Mytilus edulis: one gene and its partner. The protein of the gene in region 2 binds, or shares a complex with, the protein of the main gene of each other region. Links are inferred from orthologs where the notes say so. Each region holds a gene or a part of one and is shown on either strand. Other genes may lie near its edges.

Region 1 (10,663 bases), on a different chromosome or scaffold from region 2:
GTCACGGTACTTTTCTATCCCAAATTTATGTATTTGGTTTTGATGTTATATTTGTTATTCTCATCGGATTTTGTCTAATGCTTAGTCCGTTTCTGTGTGTGTTACATTTTAATGTTGTTTTGTTGTTCTCCTCTTATATTTAATGCGTTTCCCTCAGTTTTAGTTTGAGTTTTGAACAGCGGTATCCTACTGTTGCCTTTATTTATATACATTTCCCAACTTTTTATGTATTCAAGAGCTTGCAGCTTCTACTTAGACTTTGTAAAACATCACCAGTATCTGAGTAGATGATGAACCTTCCATCCAGAACAGGGGTATGTCAAAAAACGTCTCGTTTTTGTTCCTAAAAAAGTTCAACGGAAGGTACCAAGACCTTGTTGATAAATATTCCGTATCAACTTCACAAATAGTACACGATAGGCTTAAAGTATAGATTCTGGGTACTGGCGTTGTTTATCGTCTTAATAACGGGTTATATTATTCTTTTATTTGTCTTTATGGATATTACGAGAAGTCCATTACTAGACTTCTGATATTACTTTTACTGTTTAGTCTGCTTTTGTCATATCAGACGTGACTCTGTATTTATTTATCCCGCCATTGTGTTATTGTTCTATGATAATTTCTGTTTCAATGTCTTTCAATTTTGCTTATTTGATTTGTCTTTATGCCTTTTTTTTTATTTCTTTGATACATATGACATGCCCCTCTACTTATACATCCCGTCATTGTGTTAGTGTTCTATGATAGATAAATCTTGTTTGCTTGACTCTCATTTTTGCTGATGTGCTTTGTCTATATACTTTTTAGTGCTTCTTTGTTACGTATTTGTTTGTTTTTATAGTGATTAAAATTATAACATAATTTTTACTGATGTACCCCTATTTTTGACATTTTTACTTATTGTGTCTGATTGTTTTGTTCACACATCGTTGTCAATATAATAGAATTCGATGCGACTGTCATAAAAGTGAGAGGTTAAGCTAGCTATAAAACCAGGTTTAACCCACTATTTCTACAAAAAGAAATCCTGTACCAAGTCAGGAATATGACTATTGTTATCCATTCATTTGATGTTTTTGAGCTTTTGATTTTTCCATTTGATTCGGAAAATTCCGTTTTGAATTTTCCTTGGTTTTCAGTATTTTTGTGATTTTACTTTTCAGGGGTTGAAATTTACTAAGGAGCTCGGTATTTATAAGACTTTTTGTATACGAAAATCATCATTACCACAGGAGGAACTGCAACAATTAGAATCAATTATTAAATTGTATTCCCTGTCCGTCTTCACTATGCTTTCAATTGATTTGAACTACAAAGTTTAAGAATTTCTTACTAAATATTATGCAAAACAATAACAAAAGGAATTCTTCGGGTTAAATCAAGTTTAACGGTCTCAATATAATGATTCTGGTTTTCGCAGCCACTTTTAATATATTATAATATTCTGCTAGAAAATTATTTTGTACAAAATCGAGGTGAATTCAGGAGAACGGGAGGAAAAAGAGTGACATTCTTTTTAAATTTTCTACCAGTATATATCTGCCAAATATATTGGATAATTGAAAAAAAAAATAGAATGTGTTCGCGTTTTAAAATAATATACTAAAGTTCTGTTATGAATTGTTGCATTTTCTTGTAAAAGTATTCTACATTAAGTTGTGACATGAATTTGGGCTATTTGGTGTAAACCAGGCTTAAGCCACCATTTCTACATTTGAAAATGCCTGTACCAAGTCAGGAATATGACAGTTCTTGTCCATTCGTTTTTGATGCGTTGTGTTATTTGATTTTGCCATGTGATTATGGACTTCCGAATTGATTTTCCTCTAAGTTCAGTATTTTTGTGATTTTACTTTTTTTTGTTAGACTCTATGTACACGCACCAGGGGCGGATGCAGGAATTTTCGAAAGGGGGGGTGCTAACCCAGGGCAAAGGGGGGTGCAGGGGGGTGCAAAACATATGTCCCGATACAAATGCATTGATCGGCAAAAATAAAGGGGGTGCGCACCCCCGGAACCCCCCCCCCCCCTGGATCCGCCACTGCGCACTTTGTCGATTGTAGGATGGCCACTAATTTGAGTAAGGAAATTACAATTTGGGAAGCAGTATCCGAAATACACTATTTCTACTTAGCTGCAATCTCTTGTATTCTGCATGTGAGGGAAATGATATACAGTTAACATAACTCAGTGATGCTCGAGCGATTCAACAAACGACTACAAACAAAAACAACACGGCGACAGCGAACACATGGCCCAAATAGTCTTCTTTGGTACAGGCACATTGTGTTGTGGTCTAAACAAGTTATACTTGCCCACATACTTCCCCTTTGCACTTCTAGACCACATATATAAACTAAAAGTAAAAGACACGTACATATACAGTCCAGCTATCAAAGGGATGACCAATGATTTGAGCAAGGAAATTAAAATTAGGAAAGCAGTATCACTATCATTATGGCACTATTTCTTCTTAACTGCAATCTCTTTTGTTCTGTTATGTTAATGTATTAGATATGAAAATAACGGAAATTTATTTTTCACATTATGAATAACAATTTTAAAAAGCATTCTAAGATGACCACGTAGCAAAATCACAATTACTAGTGCCGTGTTTAGTTGTTATTGTTGATGGAAAGACAAATACACAACAATTTACAAATGGATTTCTTAAATGAATAATAATCACATGAATCAGACCATATTTGATTTAGGGATAGCGTTTTCTTAGACTGTTTAATTATATCATATTTTCAAAATAAGACTTAATTGGGGAATTTTATACAACGCATTATCGGCGTAATTTGGAATTTCAACTCAATCTATCTTAATAATTGTGAATTTTTGTGGTGAATACCATATGATAATAGCTTCAGTGGTTCGCCTAATTGGTAAAAATCGAATGAAATAGATAAATTTATTTTCGTTAATTGTCTCATTTCTCCTACATTAATGTTGCATTTTCTGTGGAATTCCAGAACAACATAAATGAAATGCTCCCTGTTAATTCGCAATCAGAGTCCAACAAGGTAGACTAACGAAGTAAACTATTGTTTTTAATGAAAAATGATGTAATTTACGCCCTCCCTAAAAAACATTGGCCGAGTTTTAGATGGCCAGGGGATGTCGTTATGCAAAGCTTGAAACAAAAGTCATAAAATGATGGAAATGAAGGGATTATTCAAAAGCAAAACAGATCATTCGTAAATGAAAGATCCGTAATTACGGGAACCTTTGTCATCTGATTAATTACCATCGCTTCCCCGGGGATGACAATCATAGCTTTTCTTAATGTATAGTGATGTGAAATTAAGCCTTCGATTGATGGGGCCAAATCAAATCGTAATTATAGATAGTCTTGCATACAAAAATTATCTATATCAAATTCAATTTTAAAATGTTGCATTGGTATTGCGATTTAAGCCATAATTGACGGTTCCTGATCTCTACTTGCACAACGAACCATTTTTCAACCTTAATTGATCATTAATAGGTAATTCTGTATTGTACTGTGTGTCTTCCTAAATATACAAAATTTGATAAAGATGTGGCGTAATACAATTGCAATAGTTCTGTTTCAATCTTTAATCCTCGTGTGGGCAACTAAGATCTGATTTTTAATCAATCACTGTATACAGTCTGGATATAATATATAATGTAAGAAAGTTGATTGTGCTGAAATAAAAAAGAATACACATTCGATAAATATTAGAATAGCACTCTTTAAATAAGGTACCCAGATGCTTACATGTGATATAAAAAATCAACAAAAAAGGAAGTTTTAACATGAGTTTGTCTACAAAGCATTACGTATATACAACAGTTTGTCTTAGAAAGCAACTGATGCAAGGGGCTAAAGGAGAGGATGTATGTTGTAATGATAAGATGCGACTGGTTTATCTAGGAATTCTAAAAAAAAAAAAACTTTTATCAGACATACTTCAATCTCTTTTTCGGTTATGGCGGTTTCCGTGCTCTCTTACTCGCGTGTTTTTCTATTTTTCTCACCATGGAAGTATTATATTGATCATTGTATTGAAATGTCGCACGATACTAGTGTCATCTAACGTACACGAAGTAGTATTGGTGTCTTTCTCCGTCTTGGGTTGTAAATAACAGAGATACTAAGGTCAAGATTTCCAATCAAGTTAGCAAAATTTGATGCAGGAACGCACATAACTAATGTGAATTTTCCTTTAAAAGAACAAATTGTTAAGATGTTAACTTATAACTATTAGTATATTTATCGAGCCTGCGCCTTTTGTCGCAGAAAGCTCGGCATAGGGACAGTGCTCCGGCGGCGGCGTTGTTAGATCACTTTTAAAAGTTCTTAAACGCTTGATATTTTAGAAAGTGGAAAACTTGGATGCTTCATACTTTGTATATGGATGCCTTAAGTTACGAACTTTCTGTCTGTCACATGTCCATTTGCCTTGACCTCATTTTCATGGTTCAGTGACTACTTGAAAAAAAGTTTTTTTAATGTTGATTTCTCTCTTATTATGAGTAGTAGGAAAACTATATTTGGTATGTGTTTATATACCTTGCAAGGTCCTCATGCCCGCCACACAGTTTTCAACCTCGATCTCATTTCATGGATCAGTGAACAAGATTAAGTTTTGGTGGTCAAGTCCATATCTCAGATGATATATAAAGCATATTTATAGTATATTTGGTGTATGGAAGGATTGTAAAGGGTGTACATTTCCAACTGGAATGTGCCATCTGACCTTGGCCTCATTTTCATGGTTCAGTGGTTATAGTTAAGTTTTTGTATTTTGATCTAGCTTTTTTTACTACTATAATATATGCAATTATAGGTCTACTGTATTTGGTGTATGGAATAATTGTAAGGTGTACATTTGATTTTCCAACTGGCAGGTATCAACCTTGACATCATTTTCATGGTTCATTGGTAAAAGTTAAGTTTTTGAGTTTTGATCTTTTTTACTAATACTATAAGCAATAGGTCAACTATATTTGGTGTATGGACATATTCTATGATGAACATGTCAGTCTCGCAGTTTTATTTGATCTTTTTTATTTCATTTTCACGGTTCATTGCATAGTGTTAAGATTATGTGTCTGTTTTTCTTAAACTATAAGCAATAGTTCAACTATATTTTTTGCTTGATTTTTAATGTTTTAAAATTTGCATTTTAAAGGGAGGTGACTCTGAAACAGTGCATTTCACGGTTGAAGGAATCTTGTTGAAATTTTGCTATTTCATATTTTAGCAAGAAAAAACGTACGGTGACCCTATTTTTTCTTTTGATAATCTCAAAGCATGTTATAAAAAATATCTTCTCGTATTTTATTTTACAATCAGTCTATCATTTAATTTATCTTCTAATCACATTAATGCTTTTTCACTGTATAATCCATACAAAACTTGTCATTTTGTCCCAACCTGTAGCTTCAGAAAATGCTCGGTGACCTATCATTTTATTATATTTTTAAACATATCACCATGCATACTATGTTGTGGCAAGGTATGAACAAATTCTATCATTTTTGGGATAGGATTGCTGTCAGGTAATCTGTAGACTTTTGCCATTGACTCCTTTCCAAGGCTCTTGCGTCAACCGTGTTGTGCTTTACTTTAGGAACAACTCAGATTTTTAGAATTGTCCTGTTATAAAAGCAAAAACAAACAAATTAGAGATTGGGTTTCAACAACGGGCCCTATACGATAAAAATCAATCATAACATATATATTTTGTTCCCCTGTACTTGTCTATATAACCTGGGAACAGTTGACATGTATGTTCCTGCTATAACTTTATATTCCTTTCAGTGTTTAAGACTGTGGCAATGTGAACTAGCTAAGTTACTAACGACACATTCAAGTTGAATTTATTTACGTAACTCATTAAAATTATAGGTTGAAGATTGTTGAAGAGTAGAGGTAAAAAGCGCAAATGTCTGGTCAATCTGGGAACAGTATATTTATCCCGGGGGTTGCTTCCTATATTTTTAGTGGTATGGGTGTGCAGCAAAACAGGGTCCCTTTTCCATGGCCTGCTGGTTAGAACAGGGTCCCTTTTTTGTGTCCTGCTGGTAAGACTGTGACAGGGTCGCATTTTCATGCCGGCCTGCAGCGCTGTTGAGAACAGGGTCTTTTTAAACAAAGTATTTGTCTAGTACAGGATCGCTTATTTAACTGTTTGAGATACAGTCTAGAACCATCTATTTCACACGGTCTAGAACAGGGTAGGCTATACTGAGCGTGTTTAGAACAAGGTATGTTTTTCAATGTTTTCTGGTTAGAACAGGGTAGGATTTTGCATGTGCTGTCGGCACAGCAGTGGCGGATTCAGCCATTTAAAAAAAGGGGGGGTTCCCAACAAAGAGTAAAGGGGGGTTCCAACTATATGCTCCCATTCAAATGCATTGATCGGCCAAAAAAAGGGGGGTTACAACCCCCGGAATCCCCCCCCCCCCCCTGGATCCGCCACTGCACAGTTATACCATCGAAAGGCCAGTCAGTAACACCCCCTCCCCCGTATATTTATCTACAAATCCTTGAAAAAATAATGTGATGTGAAAAAAACAGAATTACCAATCCTACATGTCCTAGATAAGAACTGGTAACACATATATGTTTCTTTATAACAACTAGGCTGAAAATTTTGCCAAGTATAGCGCTGGAAAGACTATATAATATATCTGATAATATCTTCATTAGTCTTTTTCTCGGCCGTTATTGAAATTCTTGACAATATTTGTATTTTCCGAAGGCATATACTGAATGTTATACGGAGGGGACCAACATCTTCATATGCTGAGTTTTCATTTGAAATTTGCCGCTGCAAAACTTCTAAAAAAGGGAGAATACACATTTCGTTTAAACCGGAAGATGTGTTTTACACAGCTCAGTCAGTTATTGTTTTGATTCAGACAATTTTACTGATCTAGACTTTAAAAGAATATGTAAAACGATAACGTAGAGAAAGACATATATAAAAATTCAGTAATATATGTCCATAATATTTCATGAACTTATCCATTTATCTGGGATGTGTATTCATAGAACTGTTGACAGCAGTTAATATCAGGATGAGCCAAGCAGCTGATCAAATCCCCGGAATTGGTCATATTCGCAGTCCATTGCTACGTTCAGTTTACAATAAAATGAGAGAGGATGAAAAACAAAAGAATAATCCCCATGATGACGTATGTTTTATTAGCAATAGCTAGCATGGCTAGATCCATATGTAAAAAAAAAATGTTATGGGGAGATGTACAAATTCTCAGATCTGCAGTGACATCACAACATGTAACTGACCAATCAATGATTAGCATTTTTGTTATGTAAACAATGTTGAGAGGTGATGCGGATGAGAATCCTCTAGATTTTCCATAGACTTCAATGCAAATTAATTTAATTGATATATATTGACACCAGTTGAATCTAGTAATTTTACCCACTTAATATTGTTAAAGACACTATATAATATCTCCATTTTGATTTTTATCATACTATATCCTCTGGTTAAAAAATAATCAGCAATATAAATAATCAGATATCACCTTCAAATAGATGAAAAATCTAGAGGAATCCTATCTGCATCACCCCTTGAAAAATTTAAATGCCAGGATGTCCGGATCTGAGAATAATAAAATGCCAGAATTAAAACTGTTTTTAAAATACAATGTTCATTATTCTAGAGGATTGATTAGCTTCAAAAGACTTTTTCAAAATGAAGTATATGTATGTTGAATGATAAACTTTAAAAAATAGTTTATACAATGTACAGTACCTGGCCAAAAGTATTGCATTTTTGTTTATATATATATATTTCATATAAAAACAATTTTTCAAAAAAATATTTTGAGGGCATTTATGGTTGGATTTTTATGAACAAGGCTTTAAAAGAAGTAGAATTGTTTGTTTGTTTATTTGGTGATAGTTTTGTCTTCGGGTGTTATTGTTTTCTCTTGATGTGAACACATACAATAAATTTTTATAATTTAATTTGGTTGAATATACAGCGAATTTCTGAACAGAAAATAATATTTGTATTTATCTTGTGAAAAAATGAAAATGATCCACAAAAAATATAACCAAATAAACAAATAAGCATGTGACAATTCTGCTTCTATTGGTTAAAATCAAACCAAAAATGACCTCAAAATATTTTTTGAAAAAATGTACTTTTATATACAATATACAATGTATAGCGAAAAATCTAAAGTGATGAATACTTATAGCCACACTCTGTACTTGTTTTATGATTTTCAAAAATTGACAAATGACCATACAGGTACAATGTTCTTTACATGAACATTTGTTTGATACTAATTTTCATGGGTTTCATGGTTACAGGTGAACTGCGAAATCAAATGTTCAATGAATAACAAATTTCTAATAGGCTTTGTATGCAGAGATTTGCAAAACCACCAAATCAAATATCCACGAAAATGTAAGTTTTCCTTAATCCACGAAAAATTGATACCTCAAAAAAATAAATGAAACCACTGTAAGCCAAGAACTGAATCATTCAGAATCTACATTTGTAGATGTGACATCAACTCAGAATCAAAAAAAGTAACTCCAGTATAAAATAAACATGATTTATTGAAGTTGATTTTTTTTCTTTCAAAGTGGTATACAGTTGACCTGTCCAAAGTTCCAGAAGAGATTTGTGCAAAGTTTTTACAGTTTAACCAGGATGAAGAAACAAGCCAGTTCCTAAACCAATGTTATGAAAAATCTGATTGGTTATTTACTCAGCTAGGTCATTCCATCTGTAAATCTGTACTTGGTTGGTTTATGTCAAGCACCTCGATTAATGGGTAATGCTCTCTAATAAAGCACTGTGTATACAAAGTCTTGAAATAGCATGCAAAGGTATTTAGGAGGTTTAGATAAACATAAACCATTATTAATTGGTCGAACAGGGAGAAACAAATATTTTACAAACGCTTTAGCTATTAGAAAGTATCGAAGCACACATAAAGATTTCCCCTGACCTGCCAAAATGAGCCAAAATAAGTACCATGTGAAAATACTCCACTATACAGTTATAGAAAATGTGGTATGAGTGCCAATAAGACAACTCTCCATCCTAGTCACAATTTGTAAAAGTAAACCGTTATAGCTCACAGAGCCTCACTACGAAGAGCAAGCTATAAAGGCCACAAAAGTGACTACCGGTAGTGTAAAACTATTTAAAAAGGAAAACCAACAAACAACAATACTACAGAAAAGGCATTTTAATTTATAGATTACATGTATATAGAGTATCCACCCTATTAAAACACTTGTTTTTTTTTTTTTTAAAGTAAAAGCTTTTCATTTTAAAGAGCTTTTATACTAAGGTGTTTTTTAATTAAGAGTATACATTTTTTTTTTCGTTAGATTATTAAAAAGAGGATCAATGTTTGTATTTTCCAAAGATCAGCTTAGACAGATGTTACATGTAGCACCAGACAGGAAAGGAAATAGGTTACTAGATCTTGGTAAGAGAAAAGTAAAAGGACTACTGTAAATCAACTTATTTTTGCAGATACTTTATTTCACGTTTTACGCTTTCTAATCCAATTTGCGGCTATTTATATTTGTGATTTTCTAATTTCCTTGATGTAGTTTAATGAGGAAAGAAACAAGTTTAACATATTTATGATGATTTATATAAGCGCTACTCGTGAAAGTCACAAAAAAATAAATCGCTCCCAAAAATAAGTTGGTTTACAGTATTCCCATTTAACTAAAAATGAAGCAGTGAAAAATAAAAGTATTATGCTTGTTTAGATAAAGGGAAATGTGGTATATATACAATAGTGAGAGGAACCCAACAACACAAAACTCAGACATCTTGAGGTCAACATTAAGTCTTCAACAATAGACAAGTATCTCTACAATATAAGTGGTATTCTATCAAAACCATTCCATAAACGATGGAAAAAATTATGATGTCACTAAACAGAACCACTGAAGTGGGTTCAACTAGTTTTCTGTCACCTCAATCAGTAGACAAGAAAACAAACTAATAAATGGCAATAAAACATTCGTATGTATCAGAAACAATTGTGAGCTGGATCAGCCACTGGACATAATTTTTATGCTTATTAACACAATACGCAGTTCGTACTAATTTGGGAAATGTCCACCAAAGGAGTAAGTTCGGTAAGGGCCATATTTGGCCCCAATTATAAAGTTCATAGTTACAAGATTATAAATTTTTTAAGTTGCCTTAAAGACATGTGAGAAAGTTAACCAGAACTATTTTTGTCAAAGTTTAATTCTAACACGTTGATTTTACATTTCAAAAAGGTCAAGATAAAGGATATGGGTGAAATTTGACAAAATCAGCCGATTTTCAATTTTCAACCAAATTAAGGACCCGGAAACATAGAGCGCAGGCGTCGACAAACTTAATATTCAAATGAGACATGTGAAATGTCTTCACAAACAATATTTTAAAAGATCATTGTTGTCGACGTATGCACTCTATGTTTCCTGTCCAATAATCTATGGAAATTTACCCATTTTCATTGACATTTTCGTGAAAAATCAATATGAGTACAACTTGTGACGTCATAATAAAACGCAGAAACGTAAATTTTTCAACAAAATGGCTTATTTCCTGTCTAGTCACTGCATTAGCTATAATTAATTGTGAAATTGGTCAATAAATCCTAATTTGAAATTTAC
Region 2 (10,637 bases):
TGTTTAGGGGCCAGCTGAAGAACGCCTCCGGGTTTGGGAGTTTCTTGCTGCATTGACGACCCATGGGTGGTTTTTGGCCGTTGCCTGCTTTTTAGTGGGTTGGTGTCTCTTTGACAAATCCCTCATGTCTATTCCAAATTTTTAATTCAATCTGTATATAGTAGATCTTGTGTCCGCTTTGAGCAAAACCTCTGCTGTACTGATATATGCCCATGCCAAGGAAGTTGTCTTTGTATGGATATATTGACCGATAAAATTGATGAGATTACAAGTTAAAATGAAGCTATAATATTCCGATATCGCAATATTCCGACACCTAAATGGTCCAACATCCCATTGGTCCGACGTTTCGATCACGGGATTTTAACATTAGAAAGCCAAATAAAAGGTTCAATATTAGGATAGCCTTGTCCTCCGTTTGAAGCGGTGAAACAAGATAACAAAAAACGTAATACTTAGTGCTAAAGTAGCCGAACTAGTGTAATATTTAAAAAGAGTACAAACTACTTTGTCAAGTGTAGTTTGATTAATTATATATCTCAAGATACACGGCGGCCAACAGAAGTAAAATCAAACACATTTTGACGTACAATGAGTGATCATATTTTCCTTGTGATGTTTTATATTAAAATTGTCAATTTGTTGATATAAATATACCAGTAGCACTTTACTCATTTTAGTTATGTTTGTTAGTACTCTTATCATATCTGATTTAGTGATGTATGAGTTGTTAATGTTTGTGTCATTTTGGTCTTTTGTGGATAGTTGTCTCATTGGCAATCATGCCACATCTTCTTTTTTATATATCAACATATTGCAACATATATAAAAGAAAATCTGCTCTATGGTTGTCAGGCTTTCAAACTAACAGGAGACCATACGCTTCCTCAATTTTAATAAACAGCTCATCATGGGACTTTTCTAAACAATTAAAAATACGTCATATGTTATATTTTCCCCTTGCTTCAAATATTTTGTTTCGGATTATTTTTATCAAATTTGCAGATATATATGTTTGTAAATACGTGCAATCAAATGATATGGAGGTATTATATGATTTAGATAATGCAAGGGCGACTACAGATACATTTGTGTGACTTAAATGTTGATTTTCAAAGACTCCGAGAGAAAACGTTATGTAACATGCGTTACCGTCAAAATCAACCAAAATTAATTAATATTATAATAGAAATATATTTTCCCAACAGTAATACAGCATTCCTTTAAAATTGTTTCGTTTTTGCATTTGTTTTGACTCGATTTTACAACTGGAAGTATCCGTGAATTGAAATTGCACCCATGACCTTTGACCTCGATTTAAAAAAAAATGCACCATAATTTCTTTTGACGACCGGGATATTTAGAAAGTACACATTCTTAGCTTTCTAGTGATATATAATTTAGCCGTGTGTTAGGTAGGTGCATTAAAAATGTAAATTTGGCTCTCATATCACTCGCCTAAATATGAGAATTCTGTTAAATTCATAAAAAAATAAATCAAAATGCGAGTTTAAATAATTGCGATTTATATCCCTGTCACATTATTGGGAATAATAAAAACATTGCAATAATTCTGAATTTACAGTTATCAAATAGAATTTAAAGAATCAAAGTGGACACATGGTGAAGCTTGCATTTCACTTTTTATCCTGCATACAAATTTGAGATACTGTACATGTAAAGATTAAGTGGTAAATGTTCACAAGGGGTTCAATTTTGCTAATTTCAGTGTAGAGTTAAAAATGCAAAATACACAATTCCCCATAGTAAATCTAATCTCTATAACAAAGATCAGAATCAAACACAAGAAAAGGGAAAATAAAATCTAAAATTTTTAAATTTAAACTTAACCACTTTATACATTAAACAATATTTTCATAAACTAAATGTATCTTATTTTACAACATATAATACAAAATACATCAAAATTATAAAGAGATAGAATATAGATAGCTTTGTTATTTTTATGCCTGTTCTAATAGGAACTTCAAAAATTTATTTTTGACGAGATAAGCATTTTTTCTGTATTTTTCACATGTTATTCAAATATACAAAAATGTATGACACAAAAGTTTATGTTAATTTTTAGGTGTACCTTTGTAGTAAAATTAATAATTAATTAGAAATATTTTGCCAGAAAAGACATGAGATGTACAATTTCAAAATTAATGGTCTTATCATAATTGGCATGTACATTTGTATATTGTGGTTGCAGAGCAAATTTTGCAAATGCAATGCTTTCTATGTATGTTATAAAAAGCCAGAAAGGTTAAAATATAGGAAAAAATCAAAAATAGATATCAAAAGGTACCTTAAAATGAACTCCATTTTATCAAGATTTCGAGAACAAAAGTGTTGGCTGAATTATAGCTAAAATTTATATATAGAATTTTACCATCATTTAGACAATACAACAAGGTGCATTTCTATGAAATTCACAAATGTACATACGCCATGATACGGACACATAACACTTAAAAAATGTATATACTGTACCTTTCTCTTTGTGCACCCAGATTTTACTAAGATTGCAAAGTCTCCAATTTCATGTGGTATCTCATGTAAGAATATAGTTATAGTTGTAATAATTCCTATATTTCTACCAGCTAGAAAAGAAGCACCTATTGCCAAACCATCTGTGAAATTGTGAGCAGCATCTGCAGCAAGGTTTAAATAACCAGCAACTTTTATGTCTTCAGGTTCTGAAAAAATACATGAAATATAGATAACAACTATTTGAAAACTTAACTAGACATGCTAGAGGCTCTGAAGAGCCAGTGTCACTCACCTTGGTATATGTGCATATATATTAAACAAAGAACACAGATGGATTCATGACCAAATTGTCAATGATCTAATAAAAATGCTTCACCCCTTTACTCTAACTCCTAAACATTTGGGGAAATTACCTTAAAACTCAATCAAAGCCTTCCCTTTTAGATATGAAACCTTGTGGTGTAATTTCACTGAAATCAATACACTTACCTTGTTGACACACAAGTTAATGAACGGAAAGTACTACAATACTTATATAAGCCCCCCTTTTTTGCCCCCTACTTCCTTAACTTCCTTCCTTCAGTGTATGGTATTCAACCTTCTGGTAAATATCATAGAGACAGGCAACGATGCAGCAGACGACAATGCAGACAACATTATATCATTTACGAAAGCAAAAAATGTTTTGCAGACGTCCATGTATAAAAAATATTAGGCAGTGATTTTGATTGACGAAAGTTTTTCAAATTAATTTCGTCACTTAAATTTTGCAAGTGCAAAAATATTTTCCTACTAAAATACTATAAATCTACCGGTCTTCATGTTTTTGACAACTTTTGACTCCCAGGTAATTAACATTTTCAACAGGTGTTGCAAGTTGTGATTACAACTACATGTAATCCGATTATCACCATCGGATGGGTCACTAATCCATTAATTATTAATAAACCTCATTAATGACCATCATAATTATTTTCCCCAGGAAAATCAGTCAGTCCGCATTTCAACAACCAGGTGTATATATATTTTCGTCAAATTGTTTACCCACGGACAGTTTGAATTGAAATTTCAATATTTCTCAAACGATCACATTTTGAAGTTCGTTTGTCGTAGATTATTCATTCGAACGCAGTTATGCCATATTTGATATAAATTTTCATCATAACTTTCAACAAATTCCATTTAAAATAGAACTTTATTCAAAAGCTAACGTTCAAAAATGTTGTCACGAGTCAAACAGGTGCCTCCTGTACTGTGTGCTACACATGCGTGAAAGTATTCCTATGACTATTTATAGGCACCAAAAAACATAAGCATTGGTATGAGATAGCGATAATTCAACTGGTGTAACGTTAACTTTTAAATTTCATAAAAAGGAATTTGATATCAAGGTACATGTACCTGTTACTTGTTTCTCTTCTGTCTTTTCAATTTTTTTCTTTGAATCTTTAGTTTCTTTGCCTTTTGCATCTTCATCACCTTCACCTTTCTTTTCGCTTTTGACTGGTTTTGGTGGTGCATGGCTGTGAGCATGTCCTCCCTTTACATACCTCACAAATTTTTCAACCATCAGGAAAACAACGATTCCAGCAAGGACCCATAATCCAACTGTCATATCGTGACCATGCTCATGTCCTCCTTCTCCATGAGAATGCCCATGAGAATGTGAGTGTGCATGGTCATCACCATCTCCATGTGAGTGAGGTGAAACTGCATGAGGAATAAGATGTAAAAATGCATCACCAAGAAGACCACCAGATGCAAAACTGAGAAGAATTTTCAGTAAATTTTGATTTTTAGCATCATATGCATTTTCTATTGGAATAAACAAAAGAATTACAATTGGTGAGACACTAATTAGAGCTGTGGCACCACAAGCCTGTAGCCAAAGTACCAATCCTGTTGATTTCTTGGAAGATTTTGTAGGTGCATCATGTTTGTGTCCATGATCGTGTGCATGGTCGTGTGTATGTCCATGATCGTGTGCGTGTCCATGATTGTGTGCGTGACCATGATCGTGTGCGTGATCATGTGCATGTCCGTGGTCATGATCTACGTTTGCTTGCTGTGAATATTTAAAAGATGGATTGGGCTCATCTTGCTCGTCATGAGAATGAGTATGTCCGTGGCCGTTGTGTGCGTTAATGCCAGACCTCAGTAAAATTGCAGACAGAATAATAACAAAAGCAATTGAAAATAAACTGCGATGGTTCCTTTTAGCCCTGTTCATCTTCTAATCGCACAAAAATCTGTTTTCGTATGTTCGAAAGTAGACGTGGCTTTTGTTTTGGAAGGGACGTAACTCTTTGCCGGCAATATTTACTGTTGCTAAATTATGTCTTGCTATCCCGTAACAGATTCCAATTTAGGTTACATATGATCGGAATTTTCTACGTTTATTTGTCATTTTTTTTTATTAATGATTCATTTTCTTTAGTATTGTTATAACTTGTAAGGGAGCTACCATTTGAATTTTTCGGGGGAAGGGGGAGGGTTAAGAAGAAAAACGTTGCCCTGGCTTTTTCTCTTGTCACTCTATTCGGTCCTTCCTTTTATAATAGGCAGCAACCATTTGATTTTCTGTGTGGATGTGTGTGTGTTGGGGGGGGGGGGGGGGGTGGGGGGTATGGATTTTTTTGGAAAAAAGTTTGTTTCCAGAGAAAAAATAGTAATTTGTTTTTGACCCTGAGAAAAAAAAATGTTTGTTTCACCCTCAGCTGCCACTATATGTAATGCTAAATTTAAAAGAAAACAAAAATCCATAGCCCCCCCCCTCCCCCGAAAATCAAATGGTTGCTGGCCTTAGTTCATCCTGACCTTTTTTTACATAAATTGCCAAATTGCTCCGGCATCCTGACTTGTTTCTCTCTTGAACTACCATAACCCCTGAAAACCACTCGGAACTGCATGGTAAATGTAGCTGACGGGATGATAAAAAGGCAGGGTTCTGTACATGTTAAATTGATAAATGATATCTGTTCGATTTCACTAGTTGAGAAAGAAGTGTCGAGCTCTCTAGAATATACGCGTTCTTTAAATTTGGAGTTTTTAGTTGATTATTGTTTTTTTTTTCTTCTTTTTGTCTTAAAAAAAGATAAATCTATGCAACACTGCAGAATGAAAACACTCAAAATTTATCAAATAAACTTTAAATTCAAAATACCGTGTTTAGTACATCAAGAGATCTTGTACTTATCTGATAAAAGTGAGAATGGAAATAAGAATGTGTCAAAGAGACAAAAACCCGATCAAACATCAGACTGAAACAGCCCAATGCCACCTCTGGGTTTTCCAAAAAGCGAGAAAATCCTGCACCAGGAAGCTAGGTTAGTTGGTCCTTAATCAAAAACGTGTACTAGTTCAGTGGAAATTGACGTAACACTTAACTGAGAAACATATAAACAAAGTAAAATTAAAAGACATACAAGACTGAAAAGACCAGAGGCTCCTGACTTACTTATTCATCTATAATAATTAATTCTTTCAAATATTTTATAAGTACGAGTACTTCTTTCGTTAGTCTTAGTCCCCTTCTCAGCAAACAAGCAATTACTTGAAACACTGATTGCGATGTTTTTCTTCGAATAATTAGACGATGGCTATATATCTTTATTCTCATAAAGCCAATGCATTACATCGGTACAGAGATAACAGATACAACAATAAATATTTACAATATGTACAAAACAAGCGAGAGAGGTTACAAAAGTTACAAGCCAGGAGTACAAACACTAGTATTTATATTTTTTATAAAAGAACAAAGCTTCTTCAGAACTGGTTTTCTTGTACTTGACATAAGTTCAGAGAATTTAACTGTATTTTGCCGTTTTGTAAAATATTCAGTTAAAAACTCTTTGCGTTTTTGATGGAAAAAATTGCATTCAAATATAAAATGATATTCGTCACCTATTTGTCGATTGTTGCATAGACTGCAAAAGCGGTTTTCTCTGATCACGTTTTGCCATCTTCCTGTTTCAATCGGCAGCTTAGTATTAGTCGTTCTAAATCGACAAAAAACAATAGCGTCTTCGAAGTCCAAAATATTAAAATATTCTTCGAATTCCAAGTTTTTCTTAAAATTTTTGTAGTTAATACCTTTTGGTGAATTTTGAATGAGGGAATTCCAGTTCTGAATATATTGATCTAGCAATCTCTGCTTTATAACAGTTTTTAACCATTCTTTATTAACAAAATTTTGTGACTCCCATATGTATGAGAAACCACAATCTTGAAATATTTTTTGTATAAACAGGATCCATTTTATCTGGACATTATGGTGCTCGTTCATATGACGAGAAAGTTGATATAATATGAAGGAAAACTTTGCTTGTTTACCGGATATCAAATTTGCCCAGAATAGTACTGTTCGAACTTTAATATCTATTTCGATCGGATGACGACCTAGTTCCCCGTAAACCATATAATTTGGCGTTGAGGATTTCAAGTTTAAAAGAATTTTACAAAATTTTAAATGAATCTTTTCAAGGATATCATTATTACCAAAGCCCCATATTTCGCACCCATACAATAGAATGGGCTTGATCATTTTGTCAAAAAGGTCAAGCTGACATTTAACAGAAAGCTGATACATCCTTCCTATTTTCAGGACTTCGTACATGGCTTTTAAGGCCTTATCGGATAAATATTTTTTAGTCATATTAAAGTTTCCTGTTTTAGTAAAAACAATACCCAAATAGTTAAACTGCTTTACTAACTCAATGCTTATGCCATTATAAGTAAATTGGAGATTTTTTGGCAAACGTCCCAAACCAAATACTAGGGTTTTAGTTTTGTCAACATTTACTTTCAGTTTCCAAACCTTACAATAGTCATGAAAGGCATTGAGTTGCGTCTGCAGATCCTGTGCTGTTTCGGCCAACAGCACCGTGTCATCTGCGTATAATATGATAAAAAGTTTTAGATGTATTTTTAATTCTCTTTCAAGGTCTTCTGATAAGGTTTTAAGTCCTGTAATATTTTTACTAACCAAGAAATCTTCTAAATCGTTTAAATATAAAGAAAATAGGAAAGGTGATAAGTTTTCTCCTTGTCGTACGCCGTTGTCACAAGCAAAGTATTCTGAATTACAATTATTGTATGATATACGAGATTTAGTATCACAGTATATATTAGATATAACCTTATACATCTTACCATTTATATTATTTAACAACATTTTATAAAACAAACCATCTCGCCATACAGTGTCAAAAGCCTTCTCAAAATCTATAAAGGCACAATATAATTTCTTTTTCCTACATTTCAATAATTCAAAAAAAGAATACAAGGTAAAAATATTATCTGTAGTAGAATATTTTTGCCGAAAACCACTTTGATTTTCTTGTATTAAGGTAAACTCTTCTGAAAAATCATTAAGTCTTTTATTCAAAACTGCTGTAAATAGTTTTCCCAGACAGCTAACGATAGTAATTGGTCTATAATTCTTTGGATCTTTGGAGTTTCCTTTGTTTTTATAAATTGGTTTAATTGTACCTATAAGCCACCTATGTGGAATAAGACCTTTATCAAATATAATATTAAAAAGTTTCTCATAAATGCATAAAAACTGGTTTGATGTGGATTTTATGTATTCGTTTATAATTTCGTCTTCACCTCAAGCTTTGTCATTCTTCAGTTTTTTTAATAGACTGGAGAATTTCATCTTTTGAAAAAGGCGAATTTATATGTTCATTCATCTGTTCACATTGCATGGGATTGATCTCTGGAAGTTGCACATTTTTTTCATCTTCCGGTGCAGCGTTTAAATTTTTGAAAAAATCGTGTAATTTTCCAATGTCAATATCGGGTTGTTTCTTTCTTTTATTCTGATTTAAAATTTTCCAATATTCTTTCGGATTTTTGCCACGCAAATTTTGAATTTTATCTGAAAGATCTTTTCTAAAGTTTCTAAATTTGCTATCGAGAATGTTTTTATACGCTTTTTCGGCATTTAACATGTCTGAATGGTTTTTAGAATGATTTTTGGACTTGAAACGTCTTTTTAATTTCCTGTAATTTTGACGTGCAAATTTACATTCCTCATCAAACCAGGGTTTATTCTTATTTCCAAAATCTCCCCTTTTCTTAGTCTGTTTTACAGTATAAGTACCAAAAGTTGTCTTCCCAGACTTGACAAAAATATTACACAGATCATCTATAAGTGAATTAATGATGTTCTTATTCACTACAGTTAAATCAGTATTTGTAAGTTTGTATTCAAGTTCTGCTATTTTTTCTACATCAATATTATTTTGAAAATCTTTTATCTTTTCAGAATTCCATCTTTTTATCTTCGTAAACGTATTCTTTTTACTAAAATAATCGACATTTTCCGCATGGGCAATTGCCAAGTTTTTATCACAGAAAAAAGTAATAGAGAGTGGGTTATGAACATCTGACAATAACTTACTTGAATCTAAAACTTCAAAGTCCTTAAACGTTTTCAAAAGTTCAGGAGTGCTTATACAATAATCAACTACACTGGCATTACGACAAGTAAATCGCCCGATATTTTGATCCCTTCCCAATCTTCCATTTAGTATTAAAAACCCCGTTGCCTTTGCAAAAATTTAACAGCATATTGCCATATCTATTTTTTCCTTTATCCATACTTTCCCTCTTCGTGGGAATAGACAGAGCTTCTAGAGCATTAATAGGGTTTTCGATAAAGTCAGACAAGTTATTATCACCATGTTCATCTTCATTATAATTACAAAATCATCATCACAACCTGTCCTGGCATTAAAATCCCCTAAGAGGCATATGTAATTTGAAATGTTCGAAAAGCGTAGAAATTCTTGTTCAATCTCATTAACAGCTTCATCTGAGGAATACCTAGTATATTCCGGAGGTATGTAAACGACTCCAAAAACAACGGGTTTATCTAAATTAAAAGCTTTACCGTTAACTTGAAACCACATTACATATTTACATTCTGTGTCTATTATTTCTATCATTGTCTTCAAATGTTCTTTGTAGCCAACTGTAATACCACCCGATCTCGTTTTCGTAACTTTTTTCCTGTTTTTCATTTTGAATTCATAACCGGGAAGATTTATCACATCAATGTCATCGGTTTTAGTTTCTACAAGACATACTATTTCATGATTATCTATAATGTCTTTAAATTCTGGATAATTCACGCGAGACTTTATTCCACAGCAGTTCAGGCATAAAATGTTTAGATCACTACCAGCTGAAATATTTTTTCTAGGACTGTTACATGTATCGCTACTGGTTGAAGTCGAAGCATTATAAATGTCTGAATTCGGGAGTGAGAATATATTACTGCTTTTAAAATCATTTTCAATATTCGTTTTTGTATGTTGTCTAGCTGGTTGTTCTCCGTGGCCACTCTAATATTGGTTTGGTTGTGTGTTGTTCGCATGTGTTGATGGAGAAGGTATGGAATCACTGTTTCTGAGATTTCTTCTTATATGGCTGTTATCTGACTCAGTCCTAGCTCGTTTTGATCTCGGTGGGATTGGCGGGCTCTCACTGGTTGGTTGCCTCAATTTTCTGTTGTGTCATTTTTGCCGGTGTTTGAGAATGTGTCTTTATTTTCTCTTCCATGTATAATTTCCCGTTTATAAATAGTTTATCCCGTACCAGGCTTGCCATTTTGCCGTCCTGTTTGGCTTTCTTTAAGATAGGATAAAGCTTTTTCCGCGCTTGTTCAATTTCAAACGGAAACTGCTCTTTAATCCCAGTGGGATAGTTTGCCCCTTTATTTACTTTGTTTTAGTTAAGAGGATATGGTTTATTCATAAATGATATTCTTATTCCCAATTTGACGAAGAAACTATTATTGTGGTCACGCAGATGACAAAAAAAACTGAATCCAGATTTTCCCATTACCTTATATTGTTAAATTTTGAAAGAAAACAAAATGTCTTCTATATATTAGTTAGTGTATGACTCTTGAGACACTCATATTTATTTAGTGACCTTCATCTATTTTTTTTATTATTCTCTGTATGTGTCAACATTGTAGGATTAAATTGTGAAAAATTGAAATAAACATTTTACACATGTTACATGACGGTCAGTATTTATGAAATATGTGTTTCAATAGTGGAGTACGTCAACAGTCATTGTATTTGAAGGAATCAATTTTATATATGATTAAATATTTTGATAGA

Evidence for each region.
Region 1: the proteins of zinc transporter Slc39a7-like (region 2) and protein-L-histidine N-pros-methyltransferase-like are in contact, whole or in part, in a crystal structure (PDB 8GZE), measured with the Homo sapiens proteins. The link is inferred for Mytilus edulis from reciprocal best matches to the Homo sapiens genes SLC39A7 and METTL9. Residues at the interface, in NP_001070984.1 of Homo sapiens: Gly65, His66, Thr67, His68, Glu69; in NP_057109.3 of Homo sapiens: Arg114, Thr115, Asn118, Arg123, Gly124, Met126, Met179, Asn210, Asp213, Arg214, Val241, His245, Tyr247, Glu249, Trp255, Tyr295, Leu296, Cys297, Glu298, Asp300, Tyr306, Val307, Leu308.

The regions. Positions count from the first base shown.
Region 1 is NC_092348.1:52,996,339-53,007,001, forward strand, and holds the start of protein-L-histidine N-pros-methyltransferase-like, read left to right. Parts: upstream 1-6,836; 5' UTR 6,837-6,999; coding exon 7,000-7,179; intron 7,180-8,611; coding exon 8,612-8,802; intron 8,803-9,367; coding exon 9,368-9,468; intron 9,469-10,663. UniProt on the Homo sapiens protein: Protein-histidine N-methyltransferase that specifically catalyzes 1-methylhistidine (pros-methylhistidine) methylation of target proteins.
Region 2 is NC_092345.1:44,234,240-44,244,876, reverse strand, and holds the start of zinc transporter Slc39a7-like, read right to left. Parts: upstream 4,823-10,637; 5' UTR 4,727-4,822; coding exon 3,898-4,726; intron 2,703-3,897; coding exon 2,497-2,702; intron 1-2,496. UniProt on the Homo sapiens protein: Transports Zn(2+) from the endoplasmic reticulum (ER)/Golgi apparatus to the cytosol, playing an essential role in the regulation of cytosolic zinc levels.